Linked DNA regions of Saccharomyces cerevisiae S288C. Changing the gene in region 2 together with the main gene of any one other region gives a genetic interaction. Each region holds a gene or a part of one and is shown on either strand. Other genes may lie near its edges.

Region 1 (3,738 bases), on a different chromosome or scaffold from region 2:
AAGTTGACATGTCATTGAAACTGTAACTAGTGTTTACTGAACTGCATTCGTTGCCAATCCAGAATGGTGGTAAGTAGAAATCTCCAACTCGTGGAATTCTCGCTATCATAAACTCTGATGTCCTTAACTTGTAAATTTCGTCTACGGTGGGATCATCAATTGGTGTGTGTGTAAATTCGTTTGCAAAATATTCACCCCATTCTTCATTTATTTTAACTGCAGCTCGTAATCTGTCTGTAGTTACTTTTTCGCTCAATGATTTCCGAACACCCTTTAGAAATTTCATCTGACTATTGATCTTACTCAGTTTTCCTTTGTCGCTGGGCTTCCTTTTCTTTCGATTTTCCAACTTTTGACTCATCAAAGAGCATAAAACTTCACAACTATCTAATATGTTATTGGCCCCGCACATAGCAAACCTGCTGGCGTGAAAAGTTTGATGGTTGAACCCTGTATCGCCTTTCAAGTGAGTGAGCCTTTGAATTTCATTATGGAAAAGTGCGGAGTAGCTACAATTCCAATCGATCATGCATCTCAATAATATTATTCTATCTAATGGTTCCATCGTCAACAAACCACCTCCATTAAAATTTAGAGTAGATAAAATATCACTATTACCACGCCATTCTTTTGGTAAGCCCCACTCCTGGATTAAGCTTCTGAGTTTGCCAACCAGTTTTCCATATGGATTTTTCAAACTAAGAAATCTTTTTAGCGTGAAATTTCTATGAGTTTGGTTGTCTGCTCTTTTCTCGGAGCAGAATAATAACCTCAAAAGACTGCAAAATAGTAGATTCATTTTATCCTGACAAATTCGAATATTCTTCGCAGAATGGCCAGCCACCTTTAATTCTAGTCCTATCTCCACATCTTGAAATGACAGGTTCAGTAGATCGTCGCTGAACACCCATTTAAATTTGACGATAAAAGAAAGGATCTTCATAACATCGCCTGCATATGGGAGAGGGGTGCAAAGGGGAGGCGCCCAATTGCTTTCCGTTACCGTCTCATCACTCATAAACTTTGCAAAGTCAGAATATCGTAAAGGAATATTTGGTGACCAGTTTAATGTATTCAATGGTCTATTATTAGAAGTAGTGTGTTCACTGATCGACTCTACCTTGTTAGTGTCGTTCGAATGTGTTTTGATATTAGAATATTTGCTTGCCATATTTGCCTCCATTTCTTTAGTTTTCATTTCTTCATCACAGGTACCTTCATATTTCTCCCGCTTTTTAGTATTTTGGGTAGCAGCATCCAGTGATTCGTCAATTGAACTATTGTGAGAAAGTACAACAGGTTCTTCTACAATTTTGATGTTTCTGAAATCATCAAAGGTCAACTGACCCCTTCTTTTTACCCTAGGCTTTGAAGACTGGTTTTTCTGTTGTTTGACCATAGGTTTCTTGATAAAGTCATCGACCAAGTCTAAATCAATAATTTCTGTCATTATTGTACCTCAAATTTCTTGTTCCTTATTTTCTTGTTTGATGTCTAAAAAAAAGAGATATCCTGGTAATGAGCAGGCCGTTTCTTCAGCTCATACAATCGAAAGCTTAAGAGTTAGTCGTTGATATGGTATTCTCTAATACCGAAAATAACTTAGTACATATAAACGCGTAAAGTTCACGCGTTTATATCACCCTACCATATGACATTCTAACCCTACTAATTTTTTATCAAAGCTAATAGGGTTGTATTTTATTATCTTTTACACCTACCTTTTTTTTTTGTATATGCCCTATAGATGAATTATAATTGTTGGACCGGTTTGTATTGGGCTTTTAAGGTGTAAAGTGAGTGCGTATAGATTATAGCAGAATAGACTATAAGTACGGCAAGACAGGAAAGTCTCCAATTGATGTACATTTTATCGCTTTGTGATCTAGGCAGTCGTTACAAACATGTTTAGAGATAGAACTAATTTATTTTTATCATACCGTAGGACTTTCCCTCATAACATAACTTTCTCATCTGGGAAAGCACCCTTGGGCGATGATCAAGATATTGAAATGGGTACATACCCGATGATGAATATGTCTCACGATATATCGGCCAGATTGACAGATGAACGAAAAAACAAGCATGAGAATCACAGTGATGCGTTACCACCCATATTTATTGATATAGCGCAGGATGTTGATGATTATCTTCTGGAGGTGAGACGGTTAAGTGAGCAGTTGGCGAAGGTTTATAGGAAGAATTCGTTACCTGGCTTTGAAGACAAGAGTCATGATGAGGCGCTGATTGAAGATCTAAGTTTCAAAGTAATTCAGATGCTGCAGAAATGTTACGCTGTTATGAAACGATTAAAGACCATATACAACTCTCAATTTGTGGATGGTAAGCAATTAAGTCGAGAAGAGCTGATTATACTAGATAATCTACAGAAGATCTATGCAGAAAAGATACAAACTGAAAGTAATAAGTTCAGAGTATTACAAAATAATTACTTGAAATTCTTGAACAAGGATGATTTGAAACCTATCCGCAATAAGGCCAGTGCAGAGAACACGCTATTATTAGATGATGAGGAAGAGGAGGCAGCAAGAGAGAAGAGAGAGGGCCTCGATATTGAAGACTATTCAAAAAGGACGTTGCAGAGACAGCAACAGCTTCATGACACTTCTGCAGAAGCATATTTGAGAGAACGTGACGAAGAAATTACTCAGTTGGCAAGGGGTGTATTAGAAGTGAGCACTATTTTCAGGGAAATGCAAGATTTGGTTGTTGACCAGGGGACTATTGTGGACAGGATTGATTATAATCTGGAAAATACAGTGGTAGAGCTAAAAAGTGCAGATAAAGAGTTGAATAAAGCAACACACTACCAGAAGAGAACTCAAAAATGTAAAGTCATTTTATTACTAACATTGTGCGTAATAGCGCTCTTTTTCTTTGTTATGTTGAAACCACATGGCGGTGGCAGTGGTGGTCGTAATAATGGTAGCAACAAGTACAACAATGATGATAATAAAACAGTTAATAACAGTCATGATGACGGCAGTAATACCCATATTAATGACGAAGAGAGCAACTTGCCGAGTATCGTTGAAGTAACAGAATCTGAGAATGATGCTTTGGATGACCTACTTTGATGACAAAACTTTCACGGTACCGCATCGCGATTTTGAACTATAATATGCTTTGAAGAAAATTGAGAGATTTAGTCAGCGTTCATATGACCTGTTGCTCGTTCTATTTGAGAAAAGTGAAAAGGTTAATATATGATTTCAATAAAGTATGTAGTATGATAATAAAATACAAATTTATATGGGATAAAATTGAACCGCAAGTAAAGACTGGCGAACGAATATTGTGCATAAGTAGTTCCTGAAGATGATAAAATATGGTTTAATACAAGTTGGTGGTTATTGTGATTTGTAGAATATAAAAAAAAAAAAAGAACCTTCATTTTTCTTTTTTTACCTAAATCCGTAAGGATTGTTCAGTGAAGTAGTAGCTCGGGGCAAGTTTTTGTTTTGCATTCTCCTCTTATAGGCAGGCTTATATCCTTGTGTTATCGGGCTTTGGTTTGGTAAAGGATTCGGAGCAAAACCGACGCCTGGTACCGGATTTCTGTGCTGTGGCACTTGGTTTGGGGCAACGTTGAAATAAGGATTGCTTTGTAAAATAACATTAGAAGGATCTGGACCAGCAGGAGTAGTTCTTTGATATAAATTGTATTGATGATATTGCTGCTGTGGTTGCTGTTGTTGTGGTTGTAGTCGTTGTTGG
Region 2 (3,011 bases):
GTTAAAATTTCGTCATCCAGTTATTAGAAAACTGGATGGAACCTTTTTCTTGCACATTAAAAATGGCATTTGTCCTTGTCAGGATTTGGGAATAAGGCTCAGTTAACCTTATTAACTTTTGTGATGTTTTTAACATGACATATTACAGGCGTCAGGATGGGCGAATAATCTAGAAATCGGCAAAAGAAGCTTCGAAAAATTAAGTTTTCAACCCTAAGAGCAGAAAGTAAAAAGAAATAGCGAAGTACAATAGAAACGACAATGACTAAGACCATCACAGTTGCTCATATCCAGTATGATTTTAAAGCTGTTCTGGAAGAAAATGATGAAAATGACGATGAATTTTACATCAATGTTGACAAAAACCTAAATGAAATCAAGGAGCATAAGATAGTAGTGTTAGGAAATAGCAGGGGTGTAGATGCAGGCAAAGGAAATACATTTGAAAAGGTTGGCTCCCACTTATACAAGGCGCGGTTGGATGGACATGATTTTTTATTCAATACTATCATAAGAGATGGTTCAAAGATGCTCAAGAGGGCGGATTATACTGCCGTAGACACAGCTAAACTTCAGATGAGACGGTTCATATTAGGCACTACAGAAGGCGATATTAAAGTATTGGATTCAAATTTCAACCTTCAAAGAGAAATTGACCAAGCTCACGTTAGTGAAATAACAAAACTAAAGTTTTTTCCAAGCGGTGAAGCTTTGATATCTAGTTCACAGGATATGCAATTAAAGATCTGGTCAGTAAAAGACGGCTCAAATCCTCGCACGTTAATTGGACACAGGGCGACAGTCACAGATATTGCCATAATAGACCGAGGAAGGAATGTGCTCTCTGCCTCTTTGGATGGTACAATTCGCCTTTGGGAGTGCGGCACAGGAACGACAATTCACACGTTTAACAGAAAAGAAAACCCGCATGATGGTGTTAACAGCATAGCGCTGTTCGTAGGGACAGACAGACAATTACATGAAATTTCTACTTCCAAGAAAAATAATCTAGAGTTTGGAACATATGGAAAATATGTGATTGCTGGTCACGTTTCTGGTGTTATTACTGTACATAATGTATTTTCCAAAGAGCAAACTATTCAACTCCCAAGCAAGTTCACATGTTCATGTAATTCATTGACAGTCGATGGCAATAATGCAAACTATATTTATGCCGGATATGAAAATGGAATGCTAGCTCAATGGGATCTAAGATCACCGGAATGCCCAGTTGGTGAGTTTTTAATTAATGAAGGCACCCCAATAAACAATGTCTACTTTGCAGCCGGAGCCTTATTTGTATCTTCTGGATTCGACACCAGTATTAAGCTTGACATTATTTCAGACCCAGAAAGTGAACGGCCCGCTATTGAATTTGAGACGCCCACCTTTTTAGTTTCCAATGACGATGAGGTCAGCCAATTCTGTTACGTTTCTGATGATGAATCAAATGGGGAGGTGCTTGAAGTTGGAAAAAACAACTTCTGCGCTTTGTATAACTTAAGTAATCCTTAACCTCTTTCGTACTAGTAACTTTTTCAAAAAAGTTCACTTCGCTGCATGAGCTTGGCGTAATGCGCTTTGAGGGTGATAATGCATTTTATTTCCATATGAAATATGTCTAAAATAGAACAATTCACTAAGAACAAGAAGGCCAAACTAAGCAGAATATGGTAGAGTTGACAATTACGGGTGATGATGATGATATATTGAGTATGTTTTTTGATGAGGAGTTCGTTCCCCATGCATTCGTTGATATACTCTTATCAAATGCCTTAAACGAAGATCAGATTCAAACGCAATCAGTATCCTCATTGCTATTAACCAGGTTGGATTTTTACACAAAGAACCTTACAAAAGAGTTGGAAAGCACCATATGGAATTTGGATAAATTATCTCAAACGTTACCAAGAACTTGGGCATCTTCTAGGTATCACAAAGAAGCAGAACAGAACGATTCCTCATTGTATTCTACTGAATCCTTAAAATCATCGAAGCTTGAATATTACTTAGATACGTTGGCAAGTGCTGTAAGAGCATTAGAAACAGGAATGCATAATGTAACTGAGAAACTAAGCGATCTAGATAACGAAAATAATCGCAATACCAATGTGAGGCAACAACTGCAAAGTTTAATGTTGATTAAGGAGAGAATTGAAAAAGTGGTATATTACCTGGAACAAGTTAGGACCGTTACGAATATTTCGACAGTTAGAGAAAATAATACAACCAGCACGGGGACAGATCTTTCGATAACAGATTTTAGAACATCATTGAAAGCATTAGAGGATACAATCGATGAATCTTTAAGCTCTGCGATTGATAACGAGGCTAAAGATGAAACAAACAAGGATTTGATTGGGAGAATTGATTCACTTTCTGAACTGAAATGTCTGTTTAAAGGCCTAGATAAGTTCTTTGCTGAGTATAGCAACTTTTCGGAGAGCATAAAATCAAAAGCACAAAGTTATTTATCAACCAAGAATATTGACGATGGTATGATATCATAATCGGTGATAAAAACAAAAAATTTGCAATTAACAAAAGAAATTTATAGCATGTTTAAATTCTTATTTCTTTTTACCATTTCCAGTCCTTTTGGTCCACTTGTAATGCATAAAAGGGTAAAAAGGAATTTGTTTAGGAGGACATGCTATTTCAGATAGTTTCTTTTTATTGATTATATAATATAGTGTACAATTTTGAAAATATAACTATTACACACATCTTTTCATTTGGTCACTTACATTTGTATAAACATATAGAGCGCGTCTATTAATAAAAGGCGGTGGACTCTGGACTATCAGATTCCTCCAACAGCGCTTCTTCATCGTCGTGTTTTCCAGTATGGTTTTTTCTGAGGAACTCGAGTCCAAATACGTACTTGAATCTTTGAACGAAAGCAGCCGGAAATACCTTCACTGCTACTTCATCGGGGCAGATTCTCACTAGCACCCCCATGATTAGAGACAACATACCACACAGTACCGCGGTTATCCACATTGATTTGG
Region 3 (2,852 bases), on a different chromosome or scaffold from region 2:
ATTATTCAGAATATTCCTGGGTGTGTCCGAATATCTTTTTTTAAAACCTGGCTTATTAGAACAGACAATTGATGCAGCTATCCATGATAAATCATTCATAAAAGATGATTTAGAATTTGTTATTTCGGCTAGAGAATGGAGCTCGGTTGTTTCTTTTGCCAATTTTGATATATACAAAAAGCAATTTCAGAGTGTTCAAAAGTTCTTTGAGCCAATGCTTCCAGAGGCTAATCTCATTGGCAACGAGATGATAAAAACCATTCTGAGTCATTCTAGTGACCGTTCGGCCGCTGAAAAAAGAAATACATAATGTTTTTAATGCTGATTTCCTATAATATTAGGCCTTCTTTTGTGAAAAGGAGTATATTTATATAACTGAATAAAAATATATATTGTGACAAATGCCCATGCAAAAAATCGTGAAAAAAGGAAGAAAGTTCTACTATTCTATGTAAAAATAAACCCATTAGATTTTTTTCCTCTTTGTGTAATGCTCACTACCGCGATTATCGTTCGTTTCATCTGGACATGCCAACGTTCTTGACCTTTTAGAACTTACGACCGGATGAATACTGTCATCATCACATGCAAGTAAGTTTTTGGTCATAAAGTCGATAGCATTGTAGTCATGTGTCCTTTTGTTAACGTTATTATTGTTGAGAGTAGATAACATACTAGACTTTCCTATGCTGCTGTTAGTATAAGGGTTCTTGCTGTTGTCTTGTGCGTGAAAGGTGTGGCTTTGAGCATTGTAAGAGGACATAAATTCATTGACACTGCCACCATTACTATTGCTGATATTATGATTTTTGGAATAGCTCTTTACTATAGAGTAATCACCTGGTTGTAAAGTACCTATCAGTTCCGGAAAATAAGATTTAAAGTCCTTATATATAATCCTATTCCACGCCCTGTTGAATTTTACCGTTGACGGTGAATACTGTAAGTCTTCCGTTGCTTGAATATGAAAAAGCGGTTGCCATATGTGGAAAAGTAAATCCTGTAATCCCAAGTCTTTCAATAAAAGATAGTTTAAGTGTGTCATCGAAACCGTTCTGTTAATTGGAAAGCAACAATTTGGAGACAGACATTTCATGATGATATATGGATCCTGGTCGTTTCCGCCAATATAAAGTAGTAGATATACTTCCAAAGAAGTCCTGGGCTCGTACATTACCACGTGCCAAAGATGTAAGTCTGAATCATGTGGCCTTACATGAAAAAGACCTTGGGTCTTCTCAGGATGGCGCATAAAATATTTCCAATCCTTCAGCAATTTCCTTGTTAAAGAGTAAGCCATAATTATTAGCTTTTTGATTAAAATATAAAAAAATCTGTTTAGCTCTTATATCGCCTCCTCGCACAAAATCACGACAAAGGCAACGTTAGATTGATGCTCTCAAAACATACTAAGAATGTGTTCTATGATATATATGGGAAGAGTAGGTTAAATATTTCTTATGACAATAACAAAACCCACTGCATCGTACAGGACGGGTAACAGAGCCCTTTCCAATTGAAATTTTGAATAAAACTATTTTGCCTATAAAAGTTAGATTTACGACAATTAATATTAGGCAGAATGTTCTCGGAACTTTCAAGTAGTAAAGGATTGCGTGGTTCATTTGTATTTACGAAACGGTGAGTAATAAGGTTTCTAAAACCAAAGGAAAAATAAAGAAAGATCTAAGAAGAAAGTTCCAGTAAAGTGAGTTATAGATCAAGATGGGTAACATTTTTAGTTCAATGTTTGACAAACTATGGGGTTCAAACAAAGAATTGCGTATATTGATTTTGGGTTTGGATGGTGCAGGTAAAACTACCATCTTATATCGTTTACAAATTGGCGAAGTAGTCACTACAAAGCCAACCATTGGTTTCAATGTAGAGACGCTAAGTTATAAAAACTTAAAATTGAACGTCTGGGATCTTGGTGGTCAAACAAGTATCAGGCCCTACTGGAGGTGTTATTATGCAGACACTGCTGCAGTTATTTTCGTTGTTGATTCGACTGATAAAGATCGTATGTCTACAGCCTCTAAGGAACTTCATTTGATGTTACAGGAAGAAGAATTGCAAGATGCAGCACTGCTGGTTTTTGCAAATAAACAAGACCAACCGGGTGCATTAAGTGCCAGTGAAGTCTCCAAAGAACTGAATCTTGTAGAATTGAAGGACAGAAGTTGGTCTATCGTAGCATCCAGTGCAATTAAAGGCGAAGGTATTACCGAAGGTTTAGATTGGTTGATTGATGTTATAAAAGAGGAACAGTTATAGCGATAAAGATTTGCAAAAAAAAAGTGTAGATGCATACTTTTTAAATGGCATTGAATATACATATAATTTGTTTTGTAACTGAATTATCAAGGAGCTCTATCCAAACATAATAGAGTTAGTAAGTGTATACATGTTTCTCTTTGGGTTTTAATTCTAAAGGCAATTACATCGTTCCGATGAATGAGAAGGCCGCATTAAAATACCTAATGACCTCTTAATGAAAGTTGCATATATACATTTAAATTAAATTGTCATTTCAATTCCGATTTATTGAAACAGGACGTCCGAAAGCAGAAACAGATTTATGTGCTTAATAACCCAATAAAGGACTTCAATGTATTCACGAAACAACACCCTTTTAATAACTAGAATAAATAATGTTACAATACCTACACTACTTCATACTTGATTCAAGAATAATTTTTTTTAATTCTTTCCCTAGATCAATAAGTTTCAATTCATTTTTATTTTTCCAAGAACAAACGTGTCTGTAGTCACAAAACTTACAGTATGTGTTGAAGTTTTTTTGAGTAGGCTCAATTGGATGCATATCTCTGCCACCAAACCAAACCATT

Evidence for each region.
Region 1: mutations in COG7 (region 2) and TLG2 together harm fitness more than expected from each alone (negative genetic interaction), as found in Saccharomyces cerevisiae (5 studies listed by BioGRID).
Region 3: mutations in COG7 (region 2) and ARL1 together harm fitness more than expected from each alone (negative genetic interaction), as found in Saccharomyces cerevisiae (5 studies listed by BioGRID, with this or other methods).

What each region holds. Positions count from the first base shown.
Region 1 is NC_001147.6:290,241-293,978, reverse strand, and holds TLG2 (t-SNARE syntaxin TLG2), read left to right. Parts: upstream 1-1,904; coding exon 1,905-3,098; downstream 3,099-3,738. Other genes in the region: ESC8 (Esc8p), read right to left, coding at 1-1,450; TOS7 (Tos7p), read right to left, coding at 3,426-3,738. UniProt on the Saccharomyces cerevisiae protein: t-SNARE that functions in transport from the endosome to the late Golgi and on the endocytic pathway.
Region 2 is NC_001139.9:489,207-492,217, reverse strand, and holds COG7 (Golgi transport complex subunit COG7), read left to right. Parts: upstream 1-1,670; coding exon 1,671-2,510; downstream 2,511-3,011. Other genes in the region: RPN14 (Rpn14p), read left to right, coding at 262-1,515; calcium-transporting ATPase PMC1, read right to left, coding at 2,776-3,011. UniProt on the Saccharomyces cerevisiae protein: Acts as a component of the peripheral membrane COG complex that is involved in intra-Golgi protein trafficking.
Region 3 is NC_001134.8:567,300-570,151, reverse strand, and holds ARL1 (Arf family GTPase ARL1), read left to right. Parts: upstream 1-1,725; coding exon 1,726-2,277; downstream 2,278-2,852. Other genes in the region: TYR1 (prephenate dehydrogenase (NADP(+))), read left to right, coding at 1-310; UBS1 (Ubs1p), read right to left, coding at 467-1,300; EXO5 (Exo5p), read right to left, coding at 2,672-2,852. UniProt on the Saccharomyces cerevisiae protein: Recruits golgins such as IMH1 to the Golgi. Can bind and hydrolyze GTP. May be involved in trafficking events within the endosomal system.